Linked DNA regions of Mytilus edulis. The protein of the gene in region 2 purifies or fractionates together with the protein of the main gene of each other region. This does not show direct contact. Links are inferred from orthologs where the notes say so. Each region holds a gene or a part of one and is shown on either strand. Other genes may lie near its edges.

What was found. The genes of interacting proteins can lie anywhere in the genome.
Region 1: the proteins of 26S proteasome regulatory subunit 8 (region 2) and proteasomal ATPase-associated factor 1-like purify together in Homo sapiens (affinity purification with mass spectrometry; 7 studies listed by BioGRID and IntAct, counting the BioPlex papers as one, with this or other methods). This does not show direct contact. The link is inferred for Mytilus edulis from reciprocal best matches to the Homo sapiens genes PSMC5 and PAAF1.

What each region holds. Positions count from the first base shown.
Region 1 is NC_092353.1:17,727,122-17,734,924, reverse strand, and holds the start of proteasomal ATPase-associated factor 1-like, read right to left. Parts: upstream 3,110-7,803; 5' UTR 3,050-3,109; coding exon 2,994-3,049; intron 1-2,993. UniProt on the Homo sapiens protein: Inhibits proteasome 26S assembly and proteolytic activity by impairing the association of the 19S regulatory complex with the 20S core.
Region 2 is NC_092345.1:101,529,584-101,537,543, reverse strand, and holds the start of 26S proteasome regulatory subunit 8, read left to right. Parts: upstream 1-4,902; 5' UTR 4,903-4,941; coding exon 4,942-4,992; intron 4,993-7,960. Other genes in the region: chondroitin sulfate glucuronyltransferase-like, read right to left, coding at 618-757, 1,073-1,198, 3,978-4,724.

The DNA.
Region 1 (7,803 bases), on a different chromosome or scaffold from region 2:
GTGCATATTAAACAAAGGACACAAATGGATTCATGACAAAATTGTATTTTGGTGATGGTGATGTGTTTGAAGTTCTTACTTTACTGAACGTTCTTGCTTCTTACAATTATATCTATAATGAACTTTGCCCATTAGTAACAGAGAAAAATATTTGGTAAAAATTTACATAAATTTACCAAATTAATGAAAATTGTTAAAAATTGACTATAAAGGGCAATAACTCCTTAAGGGTTCAATTGACCATTTTGTAGATCTTACTTTGCTGAACATTATCGCTGTTCACAGTTTATCGCTATCTATAATAGTATTCAAGATAATAACCAAAAACGGCAAAATTTCTTTAAAAATTACGAATTGGAGGGCAGCAACCCAACAACCGGTTGTCCAATTCATTTGAATATTTCAGGGCAGATATATATTGACTCGATTAACAATTTAACTCCTTGTCAGATTTGCTCTAAATGATTTGGTTTCAGAGTTATAAGCCAAAATCTACATTTTACCCCTATGTTCTATTTTTAGCCGTGGTGGCCATCTTGGTTGGATGGCCAGGTCATCGGACACATTTTTCCAACAAGATACCCCAAAGATGATTGTGGTCAAGTTTGAATTAATTTGGTCCAGTAGTTTCAGAGGAGAAGATTTTTGTAAAAGATAACTAAGATTTACGAAAAATGGTTAAAATGACTATAAAGGGCAATAACTCCTAAAGGGGTCAACTGACCATTTCGGTCATTTGCTTATTTGTAAATCTTACTTTGATGAACATTAATGCTGTTTACAGTTTATCTCTATCTATAATAATATTCAAGATAATAAACAAAAACAGTAAAATTTCCTCAAAACTACCAATTCAGGGGCAGCAACCCAACAACGGGTAGACTGATTCATCTGAAAATTTCAGGGCAGATAGATCTTGACCTGATAAACATTTTACTCCCCCCCCCCCATGTCTTATTTCCTCTAAATATTTTGGTTTTTGAGTTATAAGCCAAAAACTGCATTTTACCCCTATGTTCTATTTTTAGCCGTGGCGGCCATCTTGGTTGGTTGACCGGGTCACACCACACATATTTTAAACTAGATAGCCCAAAGATGATTGTGGCCAAGTTTGGATTTATTTGGCCCAGTAGTTTCAGAGGAGAAGATTTTTGTAAAAGATTACTTAGATTTATGAAAAATGGTTAAAAATTGACTATAAAGGGCAATAACTCCTAAAGGGGTCAACTGACCATTTTGGTCATGTTGACTTATTTGTAAATCTAACTTTGCTGAACATTGTTGCTGTTTACAGTTTATCTCTCGTCATCTGAAAATTTCAGGGCAGATAGATCTTGACCTGATAAACATTTTTACCCCAGTCAGATTTCCTCTAATTGCTTTGGTTTTTGAGTTATAAGCCAAAAACTGCATTTTACCCCTATTTTCTATTTTATTTCCGGGTCACGCCACACATTTTTCAAACTAGATACCCCAATGATGATTGTGGCCAAGTTTGGTTCAATTTGGCCCAGTAGTTTCAGAGGAGAAGATTTTTGTAAAAGCTAACGACGATTGACGATGATGACAACGGATGCCAAGTGATGAGAAAAGCTCACTTGGCCCTTTGGGCCAGGTGAGCTAAAAATATAAACTTTTTTGTATGAGGCAGAGAAACTGGGGAAGTGTGAGGTTCTATCGAGCCCATCCCCAGTTTTGTGCTGAATACACAAATGTTTATATTTTTAATGACATTGACCTAATATGGTTTTTATACTGCAACTTAAATTTATAAATTGATAGCTTTTTAAATTGTTACATAAATATCAAACTTATTTTCATCCTTAATGAACCCCTTAATGTGGAAAAAGTATTCCATGGTGAAATTGACATTGCACAAAATATATGACTGTCTTACTATATTTAGGAAATAAACACAACTACGTAGTTGCAGTATAAAATGATGTAAATGCGTAGGATGAAACCTTTAAAGGCTTTTATAATTATGAATTGGAGCAAACATGATTTTGGGTGAAAAGATCCAGATTCAATGCATTACAGGGCCACATATTTGTCCAGATTAACATGAAGTCTGCTAAGGTTTTTTTCTATTACTTTAAAGCAGAAAAACAAAAGTCTAACAATATGTTATAAATATTTGGACTAGAAATCTACTAGTTTCTATAGAGACAAGTAGAGTTCTAAGACTCAGACACAGGCACTTGTTTTCTATCCATGTCAAGATCTGCTATCCCTATATATAATTACTAATACCTACATCTACATTCTACGTTGATCTGTCAAACTTGACCAATACTCAACGCTTCTGGTTGGTGCAAGAAAAAGAGTAATTTTGTAAGATAACTAAAGAATATACAAGCGAGTATAAAGTATGACAGAAAAAAAAAAAAAAGTAATAAGGCCAAATAAAAATATATGTGTGGTTCCAGTAACCCTACCGTCCCTACTTTTTTGGCTGAAAAATAGCCTACCCTAAAGATTTTATTGTCATTTTTCATTAAGCACTGTTAAAGTCAGAATGTTGCTCCCATAGACTCAATGTAAAAAAAAAAACATAAAATAAAAAAAAATCCCTACCTACACCTACCTACCCTAACTTTTTTTCAGATGTAACTGGAACCACACATACTTTTTTATTTGGCCTAATAAAGCAATGTATAAAAAAAGGGGGTTACCATTTGCTTTTCATTCATCTGGCCTGAACCAATCCGGCTTCTGTGGCGGTACCAGGGAGACGTATCCCCGCCGGCACAGTTCCCATCCATCATTTGACTTACTTGGCAAATGGGGATAGTAGATCTTGCCATGGATAGAAAACAAGTGCCTGTGGACTTAGATCTTAAAATGTTTGTTCTTGGGACTACAGTCTACATGTATGATTATGAACAGACATATATATGTCTCTGTTATAAACATGCATTGTGTGGTGACATAAATAAAACGATTGGTAAACAAAAGTATATACATAACAAAGAATGAAAATGAATATTGACTTTAAAACATGATTCCAATCAGCTTGTAAGATTATTCTTCCACTTCTGGACACCATAGCTGTTTGGTCTTTGGTTGTAACAGGAGCTCTAAAAGAACGGGGATCGACGCCAACATTATCTTGATGATTAAATGAATACATCGTTCGTATATTCCTCCGTTAAAAGGAACACAACAAAAGCAGGCTTATCACCGTTTATAGGCTATGTGTAAACCTATTTTATTATGTGGATGAATAACTTTGAAATTACATTTGATTACACATATAATTTAAAAAGTGAAATCAACAAATTAGATTTGTGCAAAAATGAAATTAAAACATAAGCATTAACATTGTTTTCAGAACTTGAAAAACTGCGATCTATAGATCACAGACACAGACAAGTGTTTCTATCCATGGGAAGGCCTACTATCCATATATTCGACTAAACTTATATATGGATAGTCGACCTTCCATGGATATAAACAAGTGCCTCAGGGTAGTCTAGATTTCTTAGTGTAATAGTATCATTATCTTATTTATGATGGTGGGATGGGTGGATTTGGACGTTTAATGCTTTTTTGTAAAGAAAAATACTATGTTGCAGCATAAGCCAACAAATTCATTCTGTTAAACAAAACCATGCAAAAATAAATGGGGGGGGGGGGGGGGTTATAAATATTCTGGTTCATGTAGCCTATACTCAGTTAAAATGACAAATGACATTCAAACATTTAAAAAATGTGTAAACTGACGTAGTAGCTATTTTGAGGGGTCCGGATAGGAGGGGTCGAAATCCCGTGCTTAAAAACACGAAATCCAAAAATCCCGGGCTTAAAAAAACGAAATCCCGATGTCCCGAAATTCGAATAAAGAAATTCCCGGATCCCGAAAGGGTCAATCCCCAAATCACGAGCTTAAAAACACCCGATCCCGGAGTCCCGATAAAGGTCATACCCCCCCCCTCCCCCACCCACCCCTATTTTCGTTGGTTCTTCAAGTGATCTTTAGTTGAAATGAAAAAAGTGCCTGTTCCACAATATGTTCTATTAGTTTGCAGCATATCCAATTTAGAGGCTGAGACAGGTCTGCATGAATTTACTTGCTTGGGTTTGCATGTATTGATTTGTCCGAATTTTGAGAAGTTTTTTTAGCCATTATACTTGTCTTCTACTTGTATTTCTGACATAAATGGGTAGTTGTCTGAAACACGAGCTGGTAAATGTTCCTTTTCATAATTATTCCGATATAAAAGCAGAGTGAAGTTGCTTGTTAAATATCAAGTTTTGATTTTTTGTTTTGTGTCGAATTTTAACAGATCTCAACTGTGCAACTCATGAGCTGTCATTTTTTATATTCCTCATATAATTCTTAAACTTTTTCTGGTATGTTTTTGTATTGTCTAAATACTTGTCATACCATACGATGTTCTTTAGATATGTCCAATTATAATAGGCTTTTCGTGTCTGATTTTAAATCAATGTCTTTGTTTCTCTATGTTATTGTTATTCAGTTAATTCCAATCTTTTTAAATAAATGTAGTCTGTTAATTTTTCTAATGAGTTATTCCTTATTTATCAAATTTTCTTTTTTTACGGGGTGGAAGGGTGGACGTATTATTGATAATTTAGGTTGGGATGGATAACTCCTTGATTTTTTATTTACGTTTTTTTAGTTTCCCCAAAAAAACAAACGAAAAACAAGTAGTATTTCTGAATTGCATGTTACAATTGTATTTTTCTTTGTTTTCTTTTATTTTAACTCCACCGATCGAATTTAAGATTTGAGTGGGTTTAAGTTCTACATAAACACTGTTTTAAGCCACAGTGACTCCTCATATATAAGAACCGAACCTGGTTAATCTTTCATGTTGTACGATAGACCAACCTTAATAATACGTCTCCATAATTTGATGTTTAAACTTATTAGAACTTAGATAATCTCGGTTAAATTTATTCTCAACTTTCTAGATTAGCGGACCTGGCCTTAGAGGCTATAAAAGATGTGGACATTGTATAGATGAAAATCGTATGGCGACCTCTAGTTTCCCTGTGTAAATAACCAAACTTTCTTTCAATCATATCAGTGTTTTAAGAACGTAAACTACTCGGTCGTGGTGCCAAATATTGTGATAATGGTGAACTTGTAAGGGTAGGTACATAAATTTAGCGAATCATAAAGTCTTTTGGGACTCTCTTGTTTACATGTAAATAAAATATGTCATGAAGTGTAATTTTATTGTCATACTTCGATAGAACCTATTATCAGACATGTGCCACACCTTTTAACCCTTCAACGAACTATACCAACATTGTATGTAATTGATGATTTAAATATTGTATTCGAAATTTCAATAACAGTAAATAACATTATGTATACACATATGAATAATGTAATCATTGAAAAAACGATCAAACAAAACAGCTTTATTTCTCATGAATAGATGTTGGTTTAAACTGCAAACAATGTGTATTTGTTTGTTTATATATTGATCTTTGATAAAGGTATTTTCCCTATCGGTTTGCAAAAACTTAGCCTATATGTGTTGTAAACACATGCAATATGTAATTTTATTTATTTAGAAATTAAGTTAAACCTTTCTTTATAAATTACGGCTTTTCTTTATACATATGTTCATGACTGTCATATCGTCAACTGTTTATTGGATTGACACATCTTTATACATATGTTCATGACTGTCATATCGTCAACTGTTTATTGGATTGACACATCTTTATACATATGTTCATGACTGTCATATCGTCAACTGTTTATCGGATTGACACATCTTTATATGGCACGCCGTTTTTATATTTATTCAAATTTGAAGATATCTTATTTATTTAACAAGATATCTTATTAAGTATTAAGATATCTTTAATTTTTATAAGATATCTTATTTAATTTGAAAGTAAATAAGATATCTCTATTAGTTTATAAGATATCTCCATTAGTTTATAAGATATCTCTATAAGTTAATAAGATATCTCTATTAATTAATAAGATATCTTATTAATTAATAGAGATATCTTATAAACTAATAGAGATATATTATTAACTCATGGAGATATCTTATATATTAAATAAGATATCTTTATAACCAATTAAATAAGATATCTGTATAACCAATTAAATAAGATATCTCTATAAGTTAAAAAGATATCTCTATAAGTTAATAAGATATCTCTAAAAGTTTATAAGATATCTTATATAAATAAATAAGATATCTCGAAATTGAATAAATATAATAACGGCGTGCCATATCTTTAAAACATATCTCCTCATTCTATGGAGAACAATGTTATCCAAGTAAAGAAGCTGATTTTGATGTGGATGAAGTCAGGACCTTTAGATGGCCAGCTGAAGGCTACCATCGGGTACATATGGGATTATTCTCTGCGTTAAAAACCCATATGGTGGCATTCTGCTATTTTCTGCGTCTCTTTGACACATTCCCCGTATCCATTCTCAATTCTATTTAAGTCATATCTGAACCAGATTATAATCTTTAACTATATGTTAAATCTCGTCATCAGGTGTTTGTATACTGATCTTATAATTTGCATTGTGTGTCAATCAATGGAACATCAATGCTTTTGTTTTTTCCTAGTCCCCTCATTGATATTAAGGGTTAATTAAATAGATATATTGGACTTCGCTGTTCGATAATGATACCGGTGCTGATGTAGCGATGACTGCTTGACCCTGTTTGATGTATAGGTACACTGGTAAGTTTGGTCGGAATGTGAACATTTAATTTACATCTGTTGGTATGTTTAAACAGTGTGGGACAAGCGGACTAGCTGCAAATTACCCTTATTATATTTAAAAGGTCCGAAGATAACTCTTTGCAATGAAATAATTATCTCTTACAAGAACCTGTTATCCCCATGGAAATTACCGATATGTTGGTACTTTCCGTGCATGCTGGACGATCCACTTTACCAGACTATCATATTGGGTTCATACATAGTTTTGATCAACCATGAACTAGTTGCCACTGGATATTATACAAACAGTCAATCAATCTAAATTCTCTTTTGTTTTATTAACTTGTCTTGTCTTTAACAGGGTTGTTGGATGGGGTTATTGTATTTATTGATGAGTAACTGTCATTACAAACAGTTCTAGCTGTAAATAAAAGATACAACCGATCATTTTAACAAGTGATTTTGGAGAATTTGCCACAATTGTTTGACACAATCAATTAGGAAAATCTCTTTGACTATTTCAAATGCGATCATTATACTGACATATCGTGTCAATAATGAATCCGTTTATGTTCGAAACCTTTTGAAAGACTAAAAACAACCTATCAGAATAAGTACCTAGAATTGATAGTCCACCGATCATACAGTATTTAAACAAGGATTTGTATAGTCTTACTATAAAAATACTTGATTTAAATAAATAAAAAAAATATTTAAACAGTTTGAACTTTATTTTAATGTAGAGTCATTTGTTTGGATAGTCTTTTTCATGCCGTAGACTAACATTTTGTTTCTATTGATTTTGATTAACTAGGTATTTGACAAGCTGTTACGTCGTATCAGTAAAAATACTAAATTTTTTAATCCACGGTCATCATTATACTGTTTTACCAGTACCAGCGATTTATTTACGAGGAAAATGCTAGTAACGGAATTATTAGTACTACAAAATAGGAGAAGATTCAAAAGGAACCAAAAAAACTTACAACAGACAGAATCAAACCCAGAAGAATGAAGAGCTGCGGCATGAGCGCATGATACGCCGGTCACTTTTCCAACGAATAAAGTTCCATTTCTCCTCAATGTTAGATCAGAAACTTGCAAAGAACTAAATGGAGCTTA
Region 2 (7,960 bases):
TATGGTGTCATCTATGTGAAGACTGAATGTTTTCCTATAGATGTGTAGTGTTTTATGGTGTCATCTGTGTGAAGACTGATTGATTGCCTCTAGATGTGTAGTGTTTTATGGTGTCATCAGAGTGAAAACTGAATGTTTGCCTCTAGATGTGTAATGATTTTATGGTGTCATCTGTGTGAAGACTGAATATTTGCCTCTAGATGTGTAGCATTTTTTTGGTGTCATCAGTGTGAAGACTGAATGTTTGCCTCTAGATGTGTAGTGTTTTTATGGTATTTTCTGTGTGAAGACTGAATGTGTGCCTCTAGATGTGTAGTGTTTTCATGGTGTCATCAGTGTGAAGACTTACTGTTGCCTCTAGATGTGTAGTGTTTAAATGGTGTAATCTGTGTGAAGACTGGATGCACATTTACTTGCCTCTAGATGTGTAGTGTTTTTATGGTGTCATCTCTGTGTAGAGTATATTTGCCTCCAGGTGTATAGTGATTTTATGGTGTCATTGAGTTGCTGCCTGTATATTGATGTATTTTCAATATATATTTTTTATTATAATGAAAACATGGCATCATTCTGAACATATTAACTAATGTACAATGTATAAATAAGAAACAACAAACCTGTGTATCTTATACAGAGATATATCGTCTGGCATGGGATATATTGAGAATGAACTGTTAAACATGGCATCGCTACGTAAACTTGTAATGTCATCATCAAACTCAAAATCATCTACTTTATAAGATCGAAAGTTTTTATCCTAAAAAATATAAAATCTATAAATTAGACTATAAACAAGCAACCAATGAATTTGTATGACAGTTGATGTTTTAATACACAATACTGAAGTAAATGTAAGATCTCTTTCTTCATAATAAATTGTGAGGTGTATTTAATGGACCTCTGAAATGTAAATCTGCTTGCTAATGGTGATGACATGGATGAGGAGGTTGTATAATATTTACTAAAAGATGTGGTTAATTTGTCAAAATTTCTAAAGCAAAACAGGATTCAACAAAATAAGAATATGAAATATATAGAAATTCAAAGAATCTAAATTATAAACATAAATTACCCCTCCTTTCTCTGAACACTTTGAATTGGCAGTTTGTAAAATACAAGCTTCAAATGCTAGGCTTGGGTTCTGTTCTGACTTCAAAAAACAGGAATCTATTTTAGGATATACTTTTGACAAAACATTCTGAAACAGACAAATATGAATACATTTGTGAATATCATGATTTTATAATTTAAATGTTAGTATTCACAAAAACAGTGTGAAAAGTATTGCTGATTGAACAAAAATAAAAGCATTGACAAAATAGTTAGTGTGGTATCACATTCAGAACAGATATACATTGTGCACAAAACACATCCCACTTGCATCATGTGCATTGGTCACCTTTTGTGGTGATTTATTTATCAAAATGGCATGATGTTGGACATGAAATCTGCTCTGTAGTATTTCTCAGCATGTACGTAACAATATATGTATTGGTTTATCTCATTGTTGAAGGCCGTCTGTTAGCCTTTTATTGATGTCTACAGTTTTAGACGGTGCTACTTCATTTTTACTCCGTAGAATAGTTTACTCATTGGCTATCATACAACATATCCTTTATTCTACCTAAAAACAAAGCACCATAATTTTTAACTAGAGGTAGCAGTGATCTTAGGTGGCCTAAAACCAAAAGACTATTTTCATATTGTGGACTTTCGAATTTTGAGTATAGAGGTTACAGCAAGGATTTGTATAGTAAATCTTACTGTACTATATGTACAAATCATTGGTTACAGTCAAATCCCTGAAATGTATCGATCCGTGATTCAGCTGTATAATCACATTGAATCACTGAACTGATCAGTGATTTTATAAAATTCCTGATTTTGACTTTGGTCATATCTAAGATATTGTCTTATATAAATAAAATCTATCACAACATGCACAAAGTGAACAAACTTGAAATAAGTTTCTAAACTTTCTCCACAAATTAAATTAAAAGTTAACATTTGTTTAATGTAGGTATGAAGTTCTTCAATGTGGAAATGTAAAAAAATTGTAAAAAAAAACCCTGGTATTCATCAGATATGTGTAAGATGAAGATGTCAAATATTATGCTTGAGGACATGTACATTTTACAACATACATGACATACAGGACATAGTCTTGTTACCAAATTAAACATGGCAATATGTTTTAGGGGCATGTACTAGAACCAGCCCAATGAACCCATGTGCACTGATGCTCTGCTTTTGAGTCAGACAGCTGTGCATCTCAAAAGAAAGTTTCATATCTTTTCAACAAGCATTAAGAATGTCTAAACTCTACCATTTGTAAATGTTCTGAAATATCATACAGTAGTGTAAGTTTAAATGCCTATTATTCATCATGTTCATATTAATAGTTTTGACTAGTACATTGTATTATTTCATGTACAAATGTATTTATTTAAAAATATATTTCAAAATCATTGGTTTATTTGTATTAGGAAAATGCATTTCAAATGTACTGTAATCACATGTAATAGACTGTTAGTGATTTTGTAGTGATTTTACAAAATCACTAACTATTCCAAGTATTTTACAAATTCATTGTATTTTGTACAAATATACATGAACATATGTACAATGTACTTTTTCAACAAGTTTTGTTCTCTGTGGTAGGCTATTCTGGTACACAGTCAACATGGTCAAGTATGAGCAAGTAAAATAAGTTTTAAAAAAGCTTATAGTTGACGCAACTTGGGAAAAATAAGTTTTAAAAAAGCTTAAAGTTGACGCAACTTGGGAAAAAAATAAGTGTTTATCAAATTGGAAATGGAAACGGAATGTTTCTAAGTGACAAGAAAACAGCCAAAGGCGACCAAGGGATCTTCAAAACCACAAAAAAATCTTGCAACCAGACATCAGCTGGCCACTTAACAAAAATCTGTACTAATTCAATGAAAATTGATGTCACACCAAACTACTAAACATGTTTAAATTTTCTTTGAATGTAGCAAAATCATTGAAAACAGTTAATTAATCATTGTTAAGAAATGAATAATTATAGTATAACTAATCGCCGTATTTGAATATCAAAAATAAGACAACGCGTGACCGAACGACGCATGGATTAAACGAGTGCGCAGCACGAGTTTAATCCATAGCGGCGTTCTGTCACAAGTTGTCTTATTTTTGATATTCAAATACGACGATTAGTTATTCTTTTTATTACATTGGCAAATGGTTTTTTTTAATGAAATTAATGTAGAAAATGTAAGGAACTATATCTTTTTCCTACGCATTGACAATTTGTTTTGATCCGACGTTATCGACGTCTTGACAACGCCTATTGTTGTATGACGTCAGAGAGTGAAATAACCACGTTTATTTCACATGTGAAATTATCGGTTTTTATCTAACTGGGAAATCAATGTAATTCATTGCAACCAATGTAATAATTTACATTTATTCTCCAGAGTCATAAGTTAGTTACAGTAAATGAAAATAGTTTATTGTATAAATAGATAAAAAAAACAAAAACATGTCCTAGATGAAAGCAAGTTAAGTACAAGATAACAATCATGACAATATTTGTAACTAACTTTTTTTTACTTTAGGCATTGGTCCATCTGGATAAGAAATGTTCAACAGATTGTAAAAAACAATGCTTGAATGTTGTCACGAAAAAGAAGTTCCTTTTATCTAGTTCCTTCATAATATTCTGTAACATTATTTCCTTTGGAAAATTATAGAATATTTGTTCCTACAGGTGCAGGTACATGTATAATGACAAAGTTTCCAGGGGAACTTCTGTTAGGCAGAAACAAATCTTTGTTAATAATTTACATGTATTATAAACTCTTTTTGGTTGTCCTTAATTGCTATTTTGCTCAAGTTTAATCTAAAGTTACATGTACATGTATGTTTGATTTAATGTCAAAAGAATTTTTAAAGAAGTGTCTTAACTAACGTTGACTAATTGCATGTACATTTACCTGTGAAAGAATAATACCACCATCAAGTGTACACATGTCTCCTTGGTCACCTCTATGCAATATGGCTCCCATATGTACCTCTTCACTGATACTGATGTGACCAACAAGTTCATAAAGTTTTTCTCCTCTTATATAAGTACGATCAGTGATGAACAAGTAATAATCAAATGTACTTGCATAATGTTCCTTTATGTATTTAAGTGCATGTATTGGAAGTTTCTTATTGTCCTGATCAGGAAAACTAATGACTTGCATCCCAGGGGGAGGCATTCCACTTTTACCATTTGTAAAGAAAACTGTTTTAGTGACATAATGTGCAAATGTTTTGTTCAGTGCCATTCCAAATGAATTGACTGTGTGAGGAGTGGAGAGTACTCCAACAAACAGCTTTTCTCTTATACCAAGTTCAGTAGAGGCAAATCTTGGTCGAACAAATTTTTTACCATCTTTTATTTCTTCACGCTGATATTTTTGCTCATGAATGTAGAAATCATTCCCATCTGATTCAGTCTCTTGGTCATTCACTTCACCTTTTCCTGGTTCTTGTTCCTTGTTTTTAGTATCTACCTCATGGACCATCTTTGTTTCTCGTAATTTAATTAAATTTTCTGTATCCTTTGTATCTATGGGATCACACAGATCATCAAGAAATGGTGCCACCATCATGTTCAGGGCTATACCCATGCAAATCCCTATCAAAACAGGTATACATGATCTAACAAAGCTGTTCCTCCCCAACAATGACATTTCAAGAAATTGGGAAACACTAATTTGTTCTCTTGGCAATCAGAATTGTCTGGCTTATTTAAAAATTGGATACCATAATTTTAACCCACCTCTCCTAAGTTAAAGACTTTTTAAAGTACTTCAAAGTATCTCAAATTACAAGTGTCTGTGTTAAATACGTCATTGATTTATGTGTAGATCAGTTAAACGCTTTTAGACGCCGTATTTAATTGTTGTTATGAAGAGCAAATCAACCAAGATCTATAACTACTCAGCGAAAATGGATCAGGTAAATACCGACTAACGACAAATTATCGAACAATTTTTCAAAAATATAAGGAAAGCATGTTTTCCCTCTCATAACTTTGTCTTCACCAGACATTGGTAGACTTTGACCATTGCCAGTAAGCACCCCTACCAACTGAGCTAAAAGATTTCCCATCAGGCTTTCCACTTTCAGCTTTATTTTATGTGGTATAAATTATGTTATACACAATATTCTAAACAAAAGGTTTTAATTTATGTATGAATTTGGAGTTGTTCCAAATATTTTCAGACTGTTGGAATAAGCCAGCTCTAAAAATTGCTTATTCTGATTATAACTACATTGATTGCTGGGTAAATCTTTCATGACCTCAACTCAATTATCAATGGAAGCAGGACAAATATCCCCACTGCCAAATTGCACCACAGGGGGTCTCATTGGGGGTCCCGATCCCGGATCCTGCTTACTGTTTTGTCAGATTCCCGTATCCCGCTTACACTATGTATGTAAGCAATTCTCATTTTTTTGTCATTTCCCGGGTCCCGCAAGACCTCATTTCCCGATTTCACGACACAATAATTTGACTTTCACGTGTCACGCTTACAAAAAATCAGCAATCCCGCGTCACGCTTAGACCCCAATGAGACCCACCACCACACCTAGGCTAATTGCCCCACTTTTGAAAAAAAAACCTAAACTTGTTTACCAACTCGACCAACTTATTTGTAAAATCTTCAATCTTGTAAAATCACAAATAGGGCGAGTTGGGGTCAGTTAGCCCATGGCCACAGTGAGTTAGTCCTAATAACATGTTCGCCCTGAGTTCTTTCGCCCACATAGTTTGTTCGCCCTACAAAAAAATATTAATATTCAGGGCATTAAAATTGAATAAACGTATTCAGATATTACTATCTGACTGGTATATCATGATCATTGTATATATTCTTGAAATTTATGGAAACATGGAAATATTGAAAAGTTTATGGCTTGTTTAGAATCATTAATTGTTCAATGCCAAAATAATTCGGATCACTTATTATTGTGATACTTGTCTTTTGATGGATTAATAATTAAAACAAACGTTTTGTTTTGATAAAATATTCTGCTTGAAATTAATTAAAACAATGATGTACCACTGCAGTGATATTGTTTGCCTTAAATTACTGGAGAATAAAGGCTTTTCCTCTGGAGAAAAATCCCAATTTGAAAAAAAAATGGCTTTAAATTATTCCCAAAAAGACAACTTTTTTCCCAAATAGTGCAGTCTCAGTAGTATTTGTGCATGAATGCAAACAGAATACAGACTCCTTTATACATTTTCCATGCCTAAAATGATTATATGTGTAGATTTGAGGGTCCATTTATGTATCATCACTGACAATAAGGGGTCCTATTTCAAAGCAGGGTTTGACTCTTGAAAGGGGGTCTGCAAATTGAAGTTTCAGTCAAATTCATGGTTTATTCTAAATTTCCAAATTTGATAAAAATGACTCATATTTTCCCAATAGTTTTTGAAAAATGCTAACAATATCACTGGACTGTAAATCATGAAACAGATTTACTAGTTCATTTATTGTCGAGCCTTCACTTTAGTCGAAAAAGCGAGACATAGCAATGCTACATTCCGCCGGCGGCGGCAGTGGCGTCCTCAAATATTCACTCTGTGGTTAAAGTTTTTGAAATTTTAATAACTTTCTTATAGTATCCTGGATTTCTACCAAACTTGGACAGAAGCTTGTTTATGTCAGATTGTAAGATACATGTAGTATGCAGAAGTAAATTTTGTAAAAAAATTAATATTTCCATTTTTTCCATATTTTACTTTTAAATGGATTTAGATTTTCTGCCAGAAAACAACACCATGAACACATTCACTCTGGTTAAAGTTTTTAAAATTTTAATAACTTTTTTATACTATTTTGGATTTGTACTAAACTTGGACAGAAGCTTGTTTATGGTCAAAAGCTAGTATCTAGAAGAAAATAAAAAAAAATAATAAATTCATTTTTTCTGTATTTTACTGTTACATGACTTAGATTTTCTGCCAGGAAATTTCCAGTTATCATTTCATTCAGTCTGCAGTTAAAGTTTTTAAACATTTATGAGATTCATAAACTATCCTGGGATTTTACCAAACTTGGACAGAAGCTTTATTTTTACAACCAAAAGATAGTATCAAGAGGAATATTTTTATTGACTTTTTTCCTCATTTTTGTTGAGCCTGTGATTACAGCAAAAGTAGGCGAGACAATGGAACCCTTACAAATTTTTGGGATACGATTGCTTTCAAGCAATCTGTAGAGTTTTACCATTGACTCAGGTCCATGCCCTCACGTCAACCGTTTTATTCTAAACATAAAGGAACATCTCAAATTCTTAAGATTGTCTTGCTTTAAAAGATAAAAACAATCAAAAGGATTTAATTTAGACAACTTTCTTTGAATGTTCTTCTCATAATCTTCATGTTTCCATATATATTTCCCTTGATTTATACATGTATGCGTTTTTTAATACAACACAGAACATCATAATTAAGCAGTATTTATATTTAGTGTTTTTATAAATTTAGAAACGCTTTGGAGGGAATTCCCCAGTTTTGATAAAATGCAGAGTTCTCTGAATTCCGATAAATCTATTTTTATCATATAAAAACTAAATTGGAATTTTTCTTATATGTCACCGTTCTGAAACTGATATTTGATATTGTACATGTACTTCCATAAAGAAATGGAGAACCACCTAGGTCGTTTAATTAACATTTAATATATGTCCTTGCTATAAATTACAAGTATCATTGAGTATAGGGTTTGTTTAGGTAATTATGCGCATGTGTATAGTTTTCTTGACTTCAAGGGGTATCAGATTGAATGGTTTCTCTGGATTCCCAACTCCATTGATTAATTTGAAACTCTTGAGATCCTTTCTATGTCTGTCTGCTATTGAGGGTTATTGTTGTTGCATAATTTTAAATCATATGTATCAAATAAATTAA